Schizosaccharomyces pombe: one gene and its partner. The gene in region 2 interacts genetically with the main gene of each other region. Each region holds a gene or a part of one and is shown on either strand. Other genes may lie near its edges.

What was found. A genetic interaction does not mean that the proteins touch.
Region 1: of mms1 (region 2) and hst4, a mutation in one rescues a mutant of the other (synthetic rescue), as found in Schizosaccharomyces pombe (one study listed by BioGRID).

The regions. Positions count from the first base shown.
Region 1 is NC_003424.3:2,191,399-2,195,398, reverse strand, and holds hst4 (histone deacetylase, Sirtuin family, NAD-dependent Hst4), read left to right. Parts: upstream 1-1,783; 5' UTR 1,784-1,917; coding exon 1,918-2,110; exon of another isoform or gene 2,111-2,235; coding exon 2,236-3,290; 3' UTR 3,291-3,335; downstream 3,336-4,000. Other genes in the region: CENP-A chaperone, CHD family Hrp1, read right to left, coding at 1-382; CENP-P family protein Fta2, read right to left, coding at 3,336-4,000. UniProt on the Schizosaccharomyces pombe protein: NAD-dependent histone deacetylase, which contributes to both telomeric and centromeric silencing, proper cell cycle progression, DNA damage control, recombination, and genomic maintenance.
Region 2 is NC_003424.3:593,274-599,252, reverse strand, and holds mms1 (E3 ubiquitin ligase complex subunit Mms1), read left to right. Parts: upstream 1-1,726; 5' UTR 1,727-1,975; coding exon 1,976-4,353; exon of another isoform or gene 4,354-4,393; coding exon 4,394-4,482; exon of another isoform or gene 4,483-4,521; coding exon 4,522-5,276; 3' UTR 5,277-5,352; downstream 5,353-5,979. Other genes in the region: inositol phosphorylceramide synthase Aur1, read right to left, coding at 1-337; SPOM_SPAC3H8.04 (chromosome segregation protein), read right to left, coding at 5,494-5,979.

The sequences.
Region 1 (4,000 bases), 1.6 Mb from region 2:
GAATCGGAATTTCATGCTCGTCAATTTCAGTATAAGAGAAATCACGATAAACGGGTCGTTTAGCCCTTGAAGAACGTCTTGTACCATCTACTCTAACATCGTCAGAGTTTTGCGCATCGTCAATTTTAGGGGTAGACAAAGCAGAAGATACAACTGTGCTATTAGCAGTGCTGGTTACGATTTCAGAATCATCAAAGGCAGAAGACGATAAAGATTGCTGCGAAGCGAAAGAATTTTCATGATTTAACAGGCCATTCATGCTAGGTAGAGAATTTGTTGTATTTCCAAACTGAGGATCAGTTACTGCAGAGCCATTTAAAGTAGACTCTTGAACGCTCGTAGGATGATTTTTTAAATCATAATTCGAATGTTCAGGCTCCATTCTTGTTACTCCAGAAAATTTATATAATGTTAAATGTTGAGAACGTCCACAAAGTAGGCGCTCCTTTGCAGACTCTCTTTTAAAAGCTTAAAATGCTTTTTTTTAAATATATATCTGGATATTAACAGTGAAGCAACAAAGGATTAATAGGAATAAGCAGTATGCCTATAAGGCTATTAATTGAAATTACTATGTTGTTGGCAGAAATTAATAGTGCAAAAATATGCAACACTATAAATGAAATGCCAGGCAATGCAGGTGATTTTGGTATCAAATTACTTCTCCAGAGTCCCTTTTTATTAATAAAATTTACCTTTTGAGAAGGATTCACTATTTTTACTCATGCAATTTCCACTCTCAATTTTTGCGAAAATGCAAGACCTTTACAAACAAAAAAATCCTTTGCCATAAAATGTACGAGCTATTCTCATTCACTCCATGGAAATTAAGTTAGCTTACAATTTTCATTTCCGGTTCGTATTTCCGAGCAAGTCTGCAGATTTTATTTCATTTTCAAATTAACTGTGCAAAACGTGAAGGCAAATTCGTATTTCATAAAATGCTTCAGTTCGCATGCTTTTATTAAATTTAAAGATCATTAATTTCAAAAAATTTCTATATATTTTATTGTTTACTATCCCATAACGTTAAATAGTTTACACAAAAACGTCGAAACTTTTCACATAAACGTATGCTTCTTTGTTTCAATTGTTCATGAAAACATAATGTATTTATTTACTTCTTTAATTACAATTGAGAGGGGAATCGAGACAGAGAAAACAATAGTTTCTGAAAGAAATAAACTAATTAAAAATTTGACCGATTGGTTTTACTAAATTTTTTTAACTGCATGGATATTTTACCAAAGATTCAAAGATATATTTATTGGTTTTGTTATTTTTTTGAGAATTTTATGAAAGACTTCACCTTCCAACTTTTTCAATTAAATGTCAAGGAAAAATACTGTACTTAAAACTCTTGAAAGTTTTCCCAATATTTAAGAAAATGGAACTTCAATTGTTTTTTTAAATTTTTGCAATCCCTTTTTGTTTTAATATTTTTATTACCAGTTTCTGTATATATTTATTTATTTCATTTGACTATTTAGACAATTTATATATTGATAGAAGGAGAAATCTCAGAAGGATTATTGAAGACTTAATTTTATTCTTTTTATTAATGTCAGCATGAAAGCTGATTTTCTAGTCTGAACATTTTATTAAATGGGTAAAAACAAAAAAATCAGTACTCTAAATAAACATTGGTTCAACGGCATTTTTAAAAGTGAATAGAGAAAAAAATTGCGATTACTGTTATACAAAGACATGGCGAAATTGAGTCTTTCAAGCGATATAATTGTCCTTCAACGGCCTTTCGAAACGTACGTAGACACAACCGCCTAACCGTCAATCACAACTTAATTCCTCAACCATTCCATTTTAGGAAGAAGTCGAAGAGTTCAATGATTTTAATATATTTTAATTAATGCACTCAACTTTTTGGATTTAAAAAATTCCAAATTTACGTAGCTTAGTATGAAAGTGGAGGAGCACGTCCCTCTAATACAGGAGTCGAGGAAGAGAAAATGCCAATCTTCTGAAAATGCTTCGAAAAGGCAGCAATTACTTTCCAAGCTTCCACTTAGACTTCATACAGGCAATGAAAATGTCGATTTATCTCCTTTAGTTTCTGCCATTCGCAAGGCAAAGCGCATAGTCGTTGTTACTGGTATGTTGCTTATTTATGGTTTTCCTTCTTTTATTTTAACTTTTCACTTAAAAAAAAAGTGGGATTAAAAAAAAAATTAAATATTATAATCGTACAAAGGCTCATTTACTAATACGTTTAAACAGGTGCTGGAATTTCTTGTGATGCTGGAATTCCTGATTTCCGTTCCTCTGAGGGTCTTTTCTCCTCCCTTCGTGCGGAGTATAAATTGAACTGCTCCGGGAAGGAATTGTTTGATGGATCTGTTTACAGAGATCTTAAGAGTGTTAACATCTTTCACGCAATGATTAGAAAGCTACATATGCTTTCTAATAATGCACGCCCCACTGATTTCCATTTATTTTTATCTCAACTAGCCCAAGAATCTAAGCTGTTACGTTTATACACACAAAATATTGATTTTTTAGAAACCAGACTCGAGGGCCTTCAAACATGTATTCCATTGCCGCAGTCTGCCCCTTGGCCTACCACGATTCCTCTTCACGGGACACTGGAAGTTGTAAGTTGCACAAGGTGCAGCTTTTTGAAAAAATTTAATCCAGATATATTTGATAGAAATGGTGTTACTGTTTGCCCTGACTGTAAAACCGAGAACGAGGTTCGTCGTATAGCAGGAAAAAGATCAGTTATCGAGGGTTGCCTTCGTCCTCGGATTGTTTTGTACAATGAGATACATCCGGATTCCGAATCTATTGGTTCGGTCTGTTCACAAGATTTAAAGTCCCGCCCTGACTGTCTAATTGTTGCTGGTACTTCTTGTAAAATCCCTGGTGTCAAAAGAATTATCAAGGAAATGAGCAACTGTGTGCATAAACAGAAGGGAAATGTTATTTGGTTGAATTATGACGAACCTACGAAAGATTTTTTGAACTTATGCGACCTGGTTGTACAAGGAGACCTTCAAATTGCTATTAGACGTCTGAAGCCTTTATTAGATGCTCCAAGTTGGAAACTCAAGTCCCATTCTGCCAAAAGAACTTCAAAACAAAAATCTTCCGAACAAACAAAGATTACTTCTTCCACTAAAATTACGAAAGCTATTGGCTTGAACACGAAAAGCAATGATAGTTCTAAGAAAGATAACACTTCTTTTCAGTTGCACCAAGTGCTCAATAGTATTGAAATACCCAAGGTGGAAATTAAACAAGAAGTTGAATATGCAACCCCTTCTCCGCTTTAACATTTAGCTTCAATAAACCATGTTAAAAATATCAATTTATCCTTCTTACCCCAAATGAGGTTTAAATAATGCCTGTAATAATAGTAGTGAACCTTCTCTGAATCCGAAAAGCGATACAAATTCCGAAAAACGTTTGTCTAATTGATTAAGCAACTTTGATGTGATGCTTACAATTTTTTCATTTTGATTCTTTAGTATATAAGAGATGCAGTAATTAGGTTGTACAAAACCAAGATCATCAAATTTTATCTCATAAAGTATTGTAATTTTGTAAAAGGAATTTTGAACATAGAAACATTGAGCGTCCATGTTTGCTGATGCCACTTTTTTCATATGCTTTGATAAATAAAACCACGTATTGCAGCGATATGAGTAATGGTGGGCAAATAATGAGAACGCTCTCAAAAGAGCTACTATATCGAGACATTGTATTGCAGAGTCCGAAAAACTACTGAGCTCTTTTCTAGCAAAATGCGGGATTTTATAAGTAATAAATAAAAGAGCATAATCGATTGTTCGGACCTTAATTTCTAGTAAAAATTTGAAGCTTGGGAGATATTCTATATCTCCTTTAAGAGAATGATGAATGATTTTCTCGGATTCCGCTTCAAATTCATGTTGTGTGAAACGAATGGATGATATGGACGAATTCAATTTAACATGTTTTTTGGGTTCAGCAGATGGCATAACTTGCTTTGTTTTAGGATTAT
Region 2 (5,979 bases):
GCCAGCGTTCTGGAATAAACCTACAAGAGTAAAATAAAATTGCCCAGGTGATGATAACAATGGCAGGAAAAAAAATTTGGCGTGTTAAAGGAACGGTCAACGCAATGGCCAAAAGACAGGCAATGCCAAATTTCCCCCAGAATCCAGGAGATTCAATGACAATACAAGCAAAAATCAAATTACCTGCTAGAAACACATATTGCAAATGTGTCCATGACCATTTCGTATTGCGTAGCAAACGAAATGTAGGCATAGGGTTTAAGCTTGTTTCCAACTTGTATTGGGATGCTCGGTTACACGCAGCAAGGCGCTTTTTTAAGGTCGAAAGAGCAGACATTGCTTCAAAGAATTATCAGAGTAAAAAAGGGAAGCGTACGAAAAAAATTTCGTAAGGAATTAACCGGAAAACTAAAGGAAAAAAAAGGAATTTTTATGAAGGAAAGAAAGTAGCTATTAAATGCAAGTGTCAAGCACTTAAAAGTAGCGATGTAAAATATTTAAAAAAAGATGGACCGATTAACCAATGTTCAGCTCACAGTTGCCAGCAATCAGGGCTATTTTTTTATTTTTTTTATAAAATTGCTAATTATATATAATATAATTAGTTTATTAACTTGCTTTTCCTCAAAAAACCAATTCGAGAAAGGAACTTTTGCAGAGGCAAAAAAGCTTCTCCGAAAGAGATACTAGTTTAAAAACCTTTGGTTGCAAATACAAACCAAAATACTCCAATTTAACTATACAATTGGAGTTAGTCGATTTCAATTGCCCCGTATAAATGGTTCTTTAGAGGTTGGTAGTGGCGAGCTGAGAATGGTACGGTCGGCTAGTATTTGTTTAGGTTTGGCAAGTGGTGTTACTGTAGCGCAACACAAGATAGCCTAGCGAAAACAACGTTATTTCGAAACTCTAGGTAATTGGAAGATATTCCTTCTCAGGTAACACTATTCGGCAACGGCAGCCAATAAAATATTTGAAAGCTAAGACTCGTTATTAAACAATAAGACACTAAGCTCCATATATAATTACCGTATCCAAGTTTACTGCACGGAAATGAGAAAGCGGAAAGTAAATCAGAAACAATTTTAGCGAAATAAAATATGAATTTCGATATAATAAGATAAAAACATTGCGGTTGAGGGTAGTATCAGATGAAGCAAATATATTATTGTAACTAAATACCTTAAGCGCATCTAGGACACGTACTTAAGCATGGGTCTATATATTCAATAACTTAGCAATGTTACGAAATATTTAGGAGGAATAGTTTTATGCACTCTTTAATACTTCAAATTTTACTTCCGTCTATATCTGTTGAATTAAGCATTCAAAATGACAATTGACAACATTAAAACAATGTAAATCTATTTGGAAGTACTAATTTTTGTTTTCGATTTCTTAATTAGGAAAACAAAAAGTGCCTACTTGCATTTTCACAGCCTTTTTCTTTGGATTCTGAATGTATACATTAGCACCCTGTTGATAATTCTTTCACGTAGGTAAAAAAGACATCATTAAGCTATTGATTTTAAATGGCCGTAGAAAATTCAAACTGTCGTAGGTCAGACAACACTTCTCTAAAGATGAAACCAAATCGTATATTTGTTAACTAGAAATCAAAATCATATATCGCATATTAATTGTTATCTTAATTTTTGTGTTCCTTAGGTTCTCGAAATTCCAACGATGGATATTCTTACATACATTCAACACAACCCAACATATTAACTCGAACAAGCCATGGTTGGTTGTCAATAATCCTTTCACATTTGGAGGAACTCGTAAGGATCTATCTTCTAAATAAGGGCGTTATATATATTTAAACCTGTACATATCTATTTTCATTGATTTTAATGTTTTTTCCGTATTTGCTAATTTCTTTGATGCATACGATTAACTAATAGCTTTTTCTATTCTATCAAAATTTGACTCTAATCAAATTAAATTGGTTCCAAGCGTTTAACTTTGTGAATTCATGGCAGAAATTATTCATCATTCAAACGTATTCACCTGGGCTTTTCATGTTTCCGAATATGATGGTGCTCCTCTCCTTTTACTTGGATCTTTTTCCTCTGTAGCTTCTGTGAGTTTAAAGCGATCTGGTGATTTACTACTTTTTGAAAGATTCACGTTGCCTGCAAGAACGAGGTCTGTTGCTTTGTTATCAAGCCATTTCCTTCAGTCAGAATCAGGTAGACATTCAATAGCGAATATTTTAATTGCTACTGAAAACGGAAAATGCTACTTGTTGCAGCTCGTCAAAACACCAGAAAAAGCGTTTCCGACGATTCGTATTAGAGATGAATTCGTTCTTGATACTCGAATGTACAACCATGAACAATTAGGAAAATCAATTGATTTATGCCCAAATGCTTCCTTGTGGGCTACTAATTCTTTTGCTGGTGATATTGTATTTTTCTTTTCACATCATCCTTCCTTAAGCAAGCAAGTCTTCGCTCAACTTTCTATCGATGGAATAATACTTCATACCATATTTGTACCTCCAAAAAGATCCTCTTCGTCTTGTGTTACGTATGTTTGTCTTTTTCTAGATTCAAATTCGAATCCTAGAATCAATGTTTATAGGTGGTCTAAGACGGAAACCTTTTCTGATGCTAGTTCTTACATAACCTTCTCAATACCGGTTCCATCCGAATTTTCTCTTGCTTCCCATATTATCCCTTGCTCCAATATTCCTGATCATTTTTTAGTATTATTGGAGACAAAGATTTGTCTGCTTTCTGTCCCACAGATAGAATGTGGGGATCTAAAATTTTTACAGACCGATCTTCCATGCAGCGGTTCACATAATTATCCATTGTCTATTGCAAATGATAACGAAACTCCGAATTGTTGCTATTTAACCTACGAAAATGGAGATTTGTATCGCATTCGTTACTCTATTTTGTCTATTGATATTAATTTAATTGGAAAGACTGGATCTTCTTTAGGAAATTTGATACTACCTTGTTATCCATACATTGTTTTTTGTGGTGACTGTTCTGATACATTAGTGTATGATGTTTCGGTATCGCCTATGTCCTTTTTTGGTAGCTTAATTGCTTGCGCTCCAATGTGGGATTTTGTGTATTCCTCATCAAGGCATAACACTTTGTTGGATGAAGACATCAATTGTAATACAGTTTATGCTACTGCTGGCATTGGTAAATCTGGGTGTTTGGTCACAATGCGTTACGGGTGCTCATCCACTACTTTGCTTGAAGCAATATTAACTGAGGGAGCTGTTTTATCAGGAATTATAAATTCTAACCACAACTCTGAATTTTACGCTTGGCTAACTTATCCTTGGCAAACACAAATTTTAAGGCTTCATCTCGATGGGGTCGTCGAAGATGTTACCGAAAGTCTTTTTTTGGATGATATAAAAGCTTTATATGTTATAAATTACCAAAATACGTTTATCATTATTACGGGAAAATCCATTTATGCTGTTACTCCTAGTTGTACAAAGTATAACCTTCTTGAGGTTTCAGGAGATGAAGAATTTGTTTTGGCTGCTTATAACGAATTAATTTTCATCGTTAAAAAAGATTTAATGAATTTCAAAAGTCAATTGCTTACACTAAAACTAAATACTCTTTCTAATGGTACACTTGAACTTCAGTCGCTTCCGGATTCCTTCGATCTACACGATGTCCCTACTTGTATTACTTCCTTTTCTTTGGAAAGAAAGCTACTGGTGATACTGGTTCATCCTTCACCTTATTTTGAATGCGTTTTCTATGATGAAACCTCACACTCTAGTGTCTATAAAGTCCCCTTAACAGGTTTTCAATTTGGATACCTTCCTCATAGCATATCGTATTTGAGAAAATCAAACCGCGCTGTTTATGTATTGATTTCATCCAACTCTACTCTTTTAACCGTCTATGTAACTCTAACGTTAGAGGGAGTACCGGATTTTAAAGTTTACTCTAATCCTATTTCAACAGACTTACCACTCACGTTACAGTCACCCTCCGATGAGTTTTCAACAATTTATGCATGGTCTGACTATTTGTATATAGTGGGTATCGATATGGAAACTGAACAACCTACGCTGAACCAGATACTTGAAGTAAATGACAGTTTTACTTGTGTTTCTGGTATTTACGATATTCCAAATAAGTTCCAGAACAGTGAATCAAGAATCATAGTGTATTATTCGAATAATACTTTGTACCTATCGGAACTTTGGCTTCCACAGCGAACCTTTTCTTCAAAACTAAATCTTGCAGCAACTCCCAAGAGATTACTTGTTGATAAATATACGAACACTTTAATCATTGGATGTTGTCACGTTTTAGTAAATGAAATTACAACCTCAGGTCTTGCTTTTTACGACTTGACTAAGTGAGTTACGTGTTTCTAGTGCCTACTAACAATTACACAGCTCGCGACTTTTCCCTGTCAATTGGCCTTCAATGGATATTAAAGGTAAACCAATATTCAAACCGGAGGAATTATTATATTCTATGTCTTGTAAGTTAGCTTTACTTTAATCACCTAACGATTATTTAGTTTGGATTGTAGCCGACGATCAAAAAAGAAAATATAGGTACCTTTGTATAGGAACAGGGGTACGAAAAAACGGATTAACTACAGGTCGTTTGTTAATTCTTACCATGAATAAAGATCATGACAGCAATGCTATAGAACTTCGCAATGTCATCACAATTAATATGAAAGACCCTATTTATTCCGTTTGTTCGATCGGAAAACATGGATTGTGTTATGCAACAGGACGAAAGATTGGTGTAAAGATGTTGGACTTAGACTCAAAGAAGTTTTGCAACAGTGATTGTGAGTTACCTGTTCGGTCTCCCATTGTATCGATGTCAACGTATAAGGACTATGTGTACACTTCTAGTTTAAGAGATTCTGTTGCCGTGTTCCAGTATGATAGTGAAAACAACTCCCTTAATTTAGTTTGCAGCGACACATCATCGAGACTAGGCATTGATTGCTTTTACATTTCACAAAAAAAATTATTGTTTTCTTGTGACAAAGACCGGTTATTAACTTGTTTCAAAGTTGAGGGTGAAGTTTGCACGTCTACCAGAGAACAAATGCTCCAGCCAATTCTTACTACAGTGTCTCAAACAAAAACAAATGCCTTAACTAACCATTTAAAGTATTCAGTTATTCGGGTGGATAAAGATAATCATAATATTGTTTGGGGATTGATGGGTTGTACTTTAGATGGGAATATCTTCAAGATCTTAATGCCTAACGATCCGACTTCGTCGGATACAATTATCTATTCTGATACTTAATGTTATCACACATTAGAAATTCCAATTTACAACAATAAATTTATCAGAGCAATACTAATGAACAATTTTTGGATGGTTTTAAATGACGTAGATAAGCAAAGAGTATAATATTAAATTAATTTAATATAAACTTGGAACGCATGAATGTTAATTTTCATTAAAAAAGAGTTATATAAGTCAATAAATCTTTACATGTCAGCAGTAAAAAGTTGGCTAGCTATCGACAACTTTCTGACAGCAGTGTTTCATTCACAATCTTCGTGTTCCCATATAACCCGCCTAAAGATTGCTGGACAAAAATAATTCTTTGAGAGTCATAAAGGTAATGGTGTCCTGCAGAAGTGCAAATAATTTGTAACTGTAATCCAAACTTTAAATGACTTAAAATTTTCCCACTTTTATCGTCTAGTTGCTGAAGATAATGTTTCTGGCGAATCCAGGTTTTAGAGCAATCAACCATACTTGAAACATTATAAGGCACCAAAAAAACTTTAATGACTAAACCGTTAGTTTGTCGAAGTATTAGTTGTAATTGCCCAACTGATGGAATTCTATATCCGAATGGATAGCCTTTATTCATGACTTTGTCGCTTTTTTGACTTCTCAGTCGAAATCGACCGATATAAGGAAATTGCACATTATCAACATTTCCAACGAGTGAGTAAGCCACAAAATTTATTTTTAAATGTGGCGGGAAAACAAG